3 linked regions of the Drosophila melanogaster genome follow. The gene in region 3 interacts genetically with the main gene of each other region. Each region holds a gene or a part of one and is shown on either strand. Other genes may lie near its edges. The genes, in order: fred, erm and pnt.

The links.
Region 1: of pnt (region 3) and fred, changing one suppresses a phenotype caused by changing the other (phenotypic suppression), as found in Drosophila melanogaster (2 studies listed by BioGRID).
Region 2: of pnt (region 3) and erm, changing one suppresses a phenotype caused by changing the other (phenotypic suppression), as found in Drosophila melanogaster (one study listed by BioGRID).

What each region holds. Positions count from the first base shown.
Region 1 is NT_033779.5:3,989,654-3,993,407, forward strand, and holds the start of fred (friend of echinoid), read right to left. Parts: upstream 2,061-3,754; 5' UTR 1,895-2,060; intron 148-1,894; 5' UTR 1-147.
Region 2 is NT_033779.5:1,952,504-1,956,257, forward strand, and holds the start of erm (earmuff), read right to left. Parts: upstream 2,051-3,754; 5' UTR 1,823-2,050; coding exon 1,811-1,822; intron 377-1,810; coding exon 1-376.
Region 3 is NT_033777.3:23,344,451-23,348,204, forward strand, and holds the start of pnt (pointed), read right to left. Parts: upstream 1,718-3,754; 5' UTR 948-1,717; intron 1-947. Other genes in the region: PolE1 (DNA polymerase epsilon subunit 1), read left to right, coding at 3,741-3,754.

The sequences.
Region 1 (3,754 bases), on a different chromosome or scaffold from region 3:
TTTCTGCGGTTGTGCGTTTTTTTCTCTCTATTTCGGTTTCAATTTGCGTGTTTTTAAAGGCTCACTCGAGAATTGATTTTGCAATGCGATGCTGAAATGCTCGTTCAAATATTCACGCACTCGAGATGCCGATACTACGGCTGGACACTGTAATTAAATGTTTCAATTAAATTAAATGCGACACACACACACTCGTGCTCATGTTAAATGCATATGGAAGGCGCCTAGAAGTAGGCAATGAATATTTAAAGGCTCAGACATTTCAATTTGGGCTTGCAAAACCGGGCCGAGGCCGAAAGGTCCAATTGAAGCCATGCCCAGGCATTAAATGAACATATTTCCCAAATAATAATAATTTGCAAGAGCACCGACTAGAGATGGATACCCCAAATGGAATTGTGCCCACTCAGTTGGCTTTGCCCCCGCCGCACATGTAAACTGTGCTGCTAATGTCTTATTCATGTTTACAATACCCAGCAAAAAGCGACTTATGAGCGGACAGCATGTCAGTCAAATAGCTTGAAAATGGCCCATCGCTTGCGTGCTCCAAACTTATTAGGTTTCATCCTAACGAAAATCCCACACCCTCCATATCCGCATCCACATCCCAGCCCCAGGTGAGTTGATTCCGCCGGAATGGTTGATGGGCCTCCTTTTGACCAAGCCTCGGCAATTGCCGGGCTATTTATTTAAACCGGAGCCGAGGGGACACAAAACCGTAGCGTTTTACTGCCCAATTGTTAATGGAAATCTCCTGCGTTACTCGACACTAATCACTAAGTAATTATGAGTTATTAATGGTGACTGCTTATTTTTATTTTGAGCCAGAGCTTTGGAAAGATAATCCGTACTTAAAATAAAACACCTTTAATTTTATGCATTTACACTGCTTGAGTTTATAGCAGGTTTTTTAGTCACTAACTTACAATTTAATCACTTAGGTGTTTTCACAAAATCTAAATTTTTGAATATTTTAAAACTTCTTATCAGGTCACTTGCATATTTTGGCAAGCTTTCCTCGTTTATTTAGTTTTTCTTCAGGAAATTTATGTGTTTTAAGCAATAAATACTTGTATTATCACAAAACGCTTTAGGTAACAGTTATCTCGATTGTCTTTGCTGTATTTAAATGCACTGTGCCTCAGAATCGAATACTAATGAAAATATATATCTTTTACTATTTGACTCCAGTGCATTCAAATCGACATTTTATTTAAGAAACTCTCGGCAACTCACAACTCAGCGAACTAAACATGGCTCCTAATTCGCTTATGCACTGCCAGTAACTTTAAGCTAAACCATTTTCAACGCCATCAAAATAACCAGCCGTCATAACAATGGGCAAAAAAGCAAGAGAAATCCTAAAGAAAGCTCCCAAATCAGCTGTCACAGTGGAATAATAAAAATAATTTATTTGCATTTTATTTGCCCAGCCTGGGAGTGAGTCTGGCTCGGACTTGTTTTCTAGGACCAAAGAGCAAGGACCAAGGACAACAAGTTGCTGACACACACAAACGGAAAGGACGCACAAAAAAAATAAGAGGAAATTATACGGATTTGACAGATGAGCGAAGGTAAGTGGAGCACAACTTTCGCAGCGGCTTTAAATTGAGCAGAAATTGTTTGTCACTGTTTGCTGGCCCCTTTTGGCGCTTTGCTCGTATTTTATTTTATTTCATTTCATTTCTTTTTTCCCGTTTTCTATTTCTGTTGCACTAGTTTTGGCCCAGTTTCTGGCTTTTTGGCGGCATAAATATGCATGGCTGTGGGCCGAGCAGCGGGCGGTGGGGGCAGGAGGTGGGTGCAAGGTCACGGGGAAAAGCGGGGCAACAGTTGCACTTGAGTGCCATTTGTCGAAAGAGTTGCCCGGCAATTTGCATAATTACAAACGCACATGTAAGCGAAACGCGGTTTCCGCCTGTCCGCAATTTCCACTGCAACGCTTTTCCGCACTCGCGTTTCTTCGGTTTCTACATATACTTGGGGTCCTGTTTTTAGGAGACTTTTCCACTCGGCCTTTCCAGTTCTTCCCGACTTTTCCGCTTTGCCGCCCGTGGCCGCAGAATGCTTCTTACCAACTAAGTGCAATTTCGGTTTTGTTCCAGCTTAAGAACGAAGTTCGATATGACGAGCTGCAAAACACGAGTACAGTGAACTTCGGATGTCGCGTACGAGTGTACGAAATCCATAGACGAAGTCGCCAATTTCGGTTGTTGAATATTATTCGAGGCGGCTGCGCTGAGAGAAAGGCTTGGCAACATGTTGCCAAGGGAGAGAAAGTTCTCTTTTGAAAAAAAAAGAGAGCGGCTAAGGACTTTTGTGGTAGGTTAGGAACTCTAGTGAAAGGACTCAAAACAACGAACCGCAAATTGTCCTAGGCCTGTAATTCATCCATAGATCAACGGAAATTTTGTTAAACATAACTCTAAGTTTTATGAAATAGTTAATCATGCCTAGTTGTCTTTATACAATGCCAACTATTCCATATTTATTTCACTTTAAACATCACATACTTTTCATTCATATTAATATCTTCTTGTTTGATAGCTCAAAGTTTACAAGATTTAAGAACATGTTAATTTGTAGATATTTTCATTATTCGATTCAAATCATCATTAATGGTTTACAGATGAATTTATTTCTACAAATAAATACATACAAGTTGTTTAATTTTATCAAACTGCTACATTTATTAGTTTTATTTGCTTTTGTGGTCCTTTTCCTGCTCTTTGGTTTATTTATGTTTTGGGGTCAGTTGTTTATGGCCATAAACACACACGAAGCATAGTCCACGAAATTTTGTTTGGACCATAATCGTTGGGACTCGGTTTTAGACAAGTTTTTTGCCCCAATCCTGGCTAACTTTTCCGGAGAGAAACTGTTTCCTATTTCACTCGTTCCCATCTCTCTTTTCCGTGCGGTTTTCTCTCACATTCTCTTGCCGAAACTTTCTCTTTTGGCAACATGTTGATTTGTTGCACTTGCAAGTGCATTCGTTTTTATTAATCAAGGCAATCAACAGTTGGTCCTGACTAGTGCAGACAGAAAGTACGGAATGCTCTGCATTTCGTTTTTTAATATTTTCACATGAATTATATGTTCCTGAAATCTTTTTATTTTACGAAAACTTACATATTTGAAGGGTCCTTTTGAATATTTTGAGCAATCAACAAAAGTGTCCCCCATTTTACAACAGCTATGTTTCTGAGTAGTTTATGGCCCACGCTTCGCAGGATAAACATTTTGGGCCCTTAGGCAGTTGTTTTGCAGCCCTTACTCCCTGTTTTGAACATGTCGTGGCACATAAAAAATATTTGCAAACTAAATGTGGCAAGTTTGGGGAGAAAAAAAGTAAAAAAAAAAAAAAGAGACCGCCACAAAGGTTGAGCCAACACCTTGGCACTCAAATACACACAGATATGTACAAAAGTTGTTAAAAAGTCCGAATAAATAAATTTTCTCTTTCAGCGAAAGAGAAAGATGTAGTGGGAGTAAGTGAGAGGTCGGAAGTGGAGACGCCTCACAAATGTTTGACATAAATTTATGCGTTTTGTGTGTTGCCCACGAAAACTCCTCAACTTTGCTTGTAGATCAGGTTAGATGGTACAATTTCGTTTTGGGGCGGAGGGCTTGAAAACTTTAGAGGAGGGGCTGGAAAATCAGGGGGTGGAGGAATTCGGGGCAGTCATGGTTGAGGATGCCAAACTAAAGTGTGTGCCGAAATTGAGTTGTCATAAAAGCATTGGGCGGCAGT
Region 2 (3,754 bases), on a different chromosome or scaffold from region 3:
GCACATACTTCTTGAAAGCGGAGTCATAGTTGACAGTGGATGGCGACTGATCCAGGCTGATCACCTCGATGGGGCTGCAGGAGCGCTCCGAGTCGGCATCGATCTCCGGATCCTCATCCTCGTCGTCATCGTTGGTGGCGAAGGAAACCGGAGCGGGCTGCGGCGGTGGCACTTGGCTGGGCCTGTGATCCGGCTCCATGATCTTGGCTATCGAAAACTTTAGGGGACACGCCCGCTTGGCGCTCTGCTCGTCCTGCTGCTGGCTCTGCTGGGCAGGATTCTGTTCGGAGGCGGCGCTCTCCATCACGGGGCTCTTCGAAGGCGGCATCATTGCGATTTCTCCCGCTGGACTACACGGTTGCATGCCACGCGGACTCTGTAAGAAACGAACAAAGAGCCAAATTGAGTATGCAAACTAAGCAACGGGTTATCAATTAATCGAAGGCATACGCCTCCATTGTTTGTGGCCACAGTTGGGGGGAAATAACTAGGATAAATAACATTTCTGGTTCCCATACCTTTCTAAAAACTTCTTGCCTTCAAAAGCATATATGTAAAGCATATATTTCGGTTTATAATTATGAATATAATAACAACACCTATTCCCAAGTTGCTCGGATTTCAAGTGGTCCCTATTGTTTTGACCGCAGCTGTACGGACTATTTACCGCCTGATCAGTCAAGTGCAACTAATGCGTTGGCAATTCGGGAGCACAAACAAACGCCAGCGGAGGGCGTGCTCCCAGCGGCAGGACATTTCCGCAGGATAATTCAGGGCCAGCCAGCGGGTTGCAATTAAACGCAAACCGCAGTGCGTTCCATAATATTACCCGATCGATTTTGCATACCACGCTATTTGCATTTAACCCGTGCTTTGCCCTGGCTTACACTCCACTTAACCCAAACAAAGACCTCAATCCTTTCGCCAGCATATTGCCATCAATCATAACACAGGCCCAGTAAGCAGTATGCGAATTTTTTGGCGCGGGTCTTGGCTTTATGTGAGATTCATTAAATCGCTTACACTCGACTGGAGGTGTAAGGCCGCCTCGCCGCCTCGCCGGCTCCATCTTCCCCATGTGCCCTCGAGTGTGGCTAATGTGCGACATCCGGTGCGATTACCGACTTCCTTGCCGCTTTTAATTAACTTGATTTGACGCCTCAGCAGGCCCAGCTCCCATCTGGGTCCGCAGTTCGCCCATCTTGCAGTTTCCCTTCCAAAGTGCGCTTTAATCTCATTAAACGAGAGGCGGCAACCATTTCACACGCTGACCCGGAGGCAGCGGCGGTCAGCCCTCGATCCCAAAGTTTCCCGGGTGCCAAACTACTACTACTACGAACGAGTAGTTCCACTTTTAAGCAGCCGAATTATGTTGGTGTTCTAGTGGCCACTTCAAAATTTGCCTCTACGAACGCCACTTGGGGAGTGCGAACCACATCGAGCTTATTAACCAAGTGCGTGGAATAATATTCAATCAACGGAGCACACAGGCACTTGGAAACTTTGTCTTGAGTTGAACAAGTGGCTATGCCCTAGCACATGTTAGAAGTTATGAGATGAAGCTGGCTTTTGATGGGGTTAATCAAAATCATAAGTGTTAAGAATGATGGTAAAGATACAAGACGAAATACTATCTAAAGAGGACATAGACCTATGTAAATGCCTGCTTTTCTTACGAACGTCACGCAAATAGCTTCGAAATGCTTCTAATATGAAAAAGCGAACTTGTACTTTATAGTTTTTTCCTTTTCCCGTCGGAGTTTTGCAATTACAGAGTAATAAATTAAGTTTTTATGTATCGAATACGTACAAAGTAAACCATATTCAGGCACTGCCTATGTGGATATCCAGTTCCCTTGGCAGGCGGCCGATCTCCACTTGTTAGAGGCAAAACACAACAGTTGGCACACACAAATTGAACTTGGTCCTTTTACTTTACTATTTAAAGTTCACTTGTTTCGTCGATAAGGATATACGCTTTTTAAATGCAAATCGAGGGACGCGAGGAACAGGACGCGTTCAGCACAGGATCAGCGACCGAAGCGGAATGAAGGCAAACAGCGAACGGTGCGGGCCTTAAGAAATATGAAAAGGACACACGGCGAGTGCTGGGGTGAATCCTGGCGAAACAACCCCCGAGAGTCCTGCGTGCTGCCGCCGTTGGCGAGAGTGAGAGATGAAATGCATGCCGAGGGAGAGAGAGAGATGGATGCAGACGTCCTGGTCGAGCGACAGAGCGAGATGGATTGATGGGAGCGACGGGCAAAAGGAGAACTTAATCATCACGTTCAGATTGGAGGATATGTCCTGACGCCGACGTCGCCGTCGACTGCGACTGCATTATGAATGAAAAGACAAAATGTCGAATTGGAATATTACGGCGAAAGAGAGAGGCAGTGAGCAGAGACCGCCCCTAAAATATTTATATAGAGATAGAGCTCAAGAGCCCAGGAAGATGATACATAGAGGAGTGACGAGATGGAGGAGGTTCCGCAAAAGAGGGAGCGCACTATGCGTAGCACTCGGCTGCTGGAAAGAGACCGATGGACGGACGGAGAGATGGATGGATGGATGGATGGATGGGCCACCTTTGGCCGTATTCCGTTCACACTTGATTTGGATGGGGCGACACCAGACACCAAGAAATGGCAGCCACCGGCCTCGTGGATGCCTCTCGAGTTGACTTTTTCACTGGCCCACCCCTTTCCCCGTTCCCCGTTCCCAGCGCATCCCCCTCCTGGAAAGCTCATGCCTTTTGTTGGGCGTTTCAATTGTCGTTTTGGCATTTCGTTTTATCAGCGTCTTTGTTTGCTCACCTTTAGCCCGCCAGCGGGCAAGGATTCTTTGATTCTCTCCAATTCTTCATCTTTTTTTGCTATATACAGAGAAAATAATTCACCCGTAATCCAATCAGTAATCCCTATTCTATGTAGGAATGTTAGTCGCAGGATAAGCATCAATCGCCAATTTTTAAAGATTGTAAATTGTATAAAATTGGTTAGATAACTTTATATTATTCTTTAGCTTCCCTGTTCTCTAGGTGCACCTTTCTCATTTGTTTGATTTGAAGCCCCCTGCATCGCCAGCCAGCACTAGTTAAATATAATCCCATATTCATTTTGATGGCATCTCCAGCGCGGCTTTCTTGACTTTGTTTGCTCTGGCAGTGCTTGTCGTCCTGCTCCACCAACTCCATCCGTTTGCAGGACCACGGTCCAGGACCTTTTCTTGGGCAATGCAGGGCACATGGCTGCTTTTGCTGGAGTTGAGCAGTTCAGCAATTGCAGCTGCAAGGCCACACAAAAGCACAACTCTTCGGCGAGTCCGACGGGGAGCGTGGGGGTTTTAGTGGATCCTTCAAGGACTATGGCCGCCATTTCGACTGCATTTTCCGTTAATCTGGCTTGTTGTGCGGCTCTTGTGTGGGGAAATCGATATGCAAATATCAGCTCTTTGTTGATTAGGTTTCCTCATTGGAGTAATGTTGATTGGATGGGTTGAATGTGGCAACCATAAAAACTATTGTACAATATTTGTAAACTATTTGTTTGATTCCTTTGAGATGCCGACGGGTAAATCTACTTTAACATGAAAATTCATGGAAATTCGTAATACTATTATAGGTGTCTTCTACTGCCTAATTTAACAAGCTTCAATATTGTGTGAATAATTCCAATATTTTAGTAAGCATACGTTCGACGAAGCAAAAACAATCCGGTGATTATCCTTGACAAAAAGCGGGCAAAACAGCGTG
Region 3 (3,754 bases):
AAGGACGTAAATCAAGTTTTATCATAGAAATAATAACAATTGATCTAAGCAAAATCTTATTGTAAAATTAATCATTTTAATGGTAACATTTTTATAAAATATGATATCGGTTAAGCCTTTAACTATCCTTTGATCTTTTTTGTATTAATAATTACTTTAATTTACATCCCAAATTGTAAGATCCTTTTAAAAACCCTTTCAGGTAACCCAAAGTGCAGAACAGGAAAGCCCCAATTATACATACTTTAAAACCGAAAGGTCAAAAGAGTAGCACTCCGGTATCAGTTTTATTGATACTTAATTGTCTAATGCGATCGCTGTGCTAGATTCTTGACCCTAACCAAAAACCGTTCACACATTCTCGATTACCAAACCCCTTGGATTGATGGCCCGAAACGCGATCGTGGGGCAGGCGAAGCTCATTTGCCGCACCGGAAGCTGTAAAAGGAACAGTAGTAATTTCGAGCGTGTTTCCCACAAGGGTTGTGGAAGTGCCCCACACACACACACTCACGCACACTGGCGGCTAACTAGCTTGGCTATGATGCCGAGTAGAAAACCAATTCAAATTCTGTTGGCCTGGCCAACAACGAGTTTATAGAGGCAGCAATCCTGAATCGAGGCGAGATCGCGAGATCGGCGGATCTACCGAGCGGTAGCCAAACCAGTTTTCTCCTAGATTCATTCAAGAAAACAGGCAACACCAACACAAAAAGGGTTTACATGCACTCAAAAGAAACTCTCTAAATTTCATATTTTTAAGATAAATATGATTTAAAAGTTATATTTCAAAACTATATATCAACAGCAATTAAGAGATATATGGTTTATTATTTGTTTTCAATTGTTTTGTCTTTTAATTTTCGCTGGATTTTTGTTTCGAGTGTAGGGAAAATAACAAAAACTAATACTTGAACTACTGTTTTTCAACACTTCACTTTTCTTACCGGTGCGGGGTAATAAAATAGCGCCCCTTCGTGAACAAGAAGGCGGGGGCTACTGGGCTCTTGATTTTTGGTTTGTGGGTTCTGGATTCTAAAGACCGTCTTTCGGTTGGCTTTTTATTAGGGTATCCAAATTAATTACAGCTTCAAATTAGGCGCACAATCTTGATGGACTCCGCAGCACCGATGACTATCTCTTGCTCGTTCTCTCTCTCTATCACGCTGTATAGATGTGTATGTTTTAACCCTCCGGTGGGATCAGCAGGTTGATTAGGGGGAGAGAGAGAGGGATTACGTGCCGGGCACAAAGACAAACGAAAAACCGAAAGGAACAACTCGAGAAGAAATCGGGGATCGGTTTAGCTCGGCTTATAAGACGCGAAAAGAAACAAACCGAAAAAAGGCCGACGGATCGCTGGCAAACACACACACGCGCGCGCACACTCACACTCAGGCACTCTCACGCGATGTTTGAGGAGATTTTTGTGGTTTTATGATGAATTTCGTATATAGAAATTGGTTTCCTGTGTTTCTGAACCGCGTTTTTTTTTCTGTTGCTGTTTGCCTTCCTTTTTTTGATGTATATTGCGCGCGCAGATCTTTAGATGTTTTGCTATTGCACTCATTCACTTACACACTGGGTTTTTGCTTGGCTTGCAAAGTGTTTTGCATTTGTTATTTATTTGTTATTTGATTCGTATAATTCATTCAAATCGAATTTACCGTAGCGCAAGTGCACGCTTCCCGAAAGAAAGACAAAAACAGACTGACCGACTGGCAACAGGCGGCAGCGACGCCGACGTTGGCGCAGACGCAGCGTTGACGCCAACGCCGACGCACCTTCTCTCTCCGTTTCTCTCTCTCTTTCTCTCCGCTGCTAAGATTAATATTTTTTTGTGTTGCTCTGGCAAGTGATAACAAAAATGGCAAATAATATGAAAATCGAGAGTTATATCAATCTGACTTATAAACATTATTCGCTATTTTACTTGATCGCTGGAATGAAAACGAAAAGGCGTGGGTGATCCTCAATCTCGCTATCTCTTTCGCACTCGCACTAGAGCGTGCATCATGAGCGCAAGAAAAAAATGGAAATCAGAATTACATATTTCGAGCAGCAAAAACAAAGTGTTTGCAGCGACAAAAAAATAGCAACAATTTATAAAAAAAATCTGCTTGCTCAGAACTCAGTGTAAGTGCGAATATGCGAGAGAGTGTGTGGGTGCGTGTATGTGTGTGTGTGTGTGTGTGCGGGCGATCGTTTTTGGCAAGCATTTAAACAGTGCCCAAAATCACTAGTATATTTAAAATATTTAGTATGCAAAGGGGGCGGAATAATAAAGACAAATATTTTAAAATTTGGCAGTCTCAGTCTTTCAATTGTGTACACTGATATAAAAATTTATTTATTTTGATTCTGGATTTTATACAAATCTATATTTTTGACAAATAAAGTAAATTGGTCAAAATATCAGTTCCAGCTTATTTAAAAGGAAAATTATACTAGTTTCTTTGTTATAATAATTAATAAAATATTTATTTAATATGAAATAATACCTATATGAAAATTTTGATGTGAGATTAAATTATCAACTTATTATTATCATTATTAAAGTTTGCACACAATGTGGGAAAGCTGCAGCTTGGGAAAATACTTTTGGACACCCCAAAAAAAGTTAAGCGCGATATTTTCCCACCGTGACCATGACAACCACTGTGCGTTCGAAAGGCTCTCTCTCTCTCTCTCTTTCGCGCAAATCAAAAACACAAACAGGTTTATGTGTGCGGAGAGTGTGTGCGACAGAGAGCGGCGATATGGAACTGAAACGACTGCAATGTTTTTATATTCCGGCAACGCATTTCGCATAAATTACAAATTACACAGCATAAGTGAATGCAAGTGCAGGGGCGGCAGTCAAATGGCCAGCTGCACCCAGAAAAAGGGCAATAAGATTCGGGATAACAAAACTTGATGGCGTTCCCGATTTTCCCGGCCAAGGGAGCGTATATGTACACATAAAAAAAAAAAACTTAACCAGCCTTGCATAACGAAACACGTGCAATAAAAATATGGCTGATTGTCAACCTCTGCTGCAACTTAATTGCTGCCGCAGAGGTAAAACTGAAAAACATAAAAGGGGGCGACAAGTGCAGCAAGCGAAAAAAAAGAACTCAAAGAGCGCATGCGCGCCGCTCTCCCACTCTCTCTCCCTCTCTCCACTGCGCTGGAATCTTACAACTCGTGTAGGTGAGCCGGATTTTTATGAATGAATGCGCCTGTGTGCGTGACTGCATGATGCCATTGCAGCGGAGAACTAGTAGAAAAAACTTCACATTTCAGCAGTTGGAAAACACATGGCCAACAGGCCAACTCAATTGGCCAGCAGCTGTCCTTAAATTGTCAGCAAATAGGGCATTTAATGCCCATTACAGGAAAATTATAGCTAAAATGGTCAAGCTGTGATGAAATAAACATAAATATTATATTTTATGATTTCATCAGATTTTAAGCATTATTTTTTTAATTTGTGTTAGGTGGAACTACAAAGCTAAGAATAATTGAGGATTTCTAGGTAAAACTTATATTCTTAAAACCATTTAATAATTTTCTTGTTTTCTTTTATTTGTAGTAACATTTTGAAATTGGCGCCAAACGTGTTACTTTACAGTGCTGTGCAACAGCTAAATGTCAGCATTCTCTGCAACGCGTTAGCACATTTCTGAGACGTTTGCAGATTTTTGGCGGCAACAAGTTATTTACATTTATTTATTTTATTTCTGCTAAACAGCACGGAAATGTCCGACTCCAG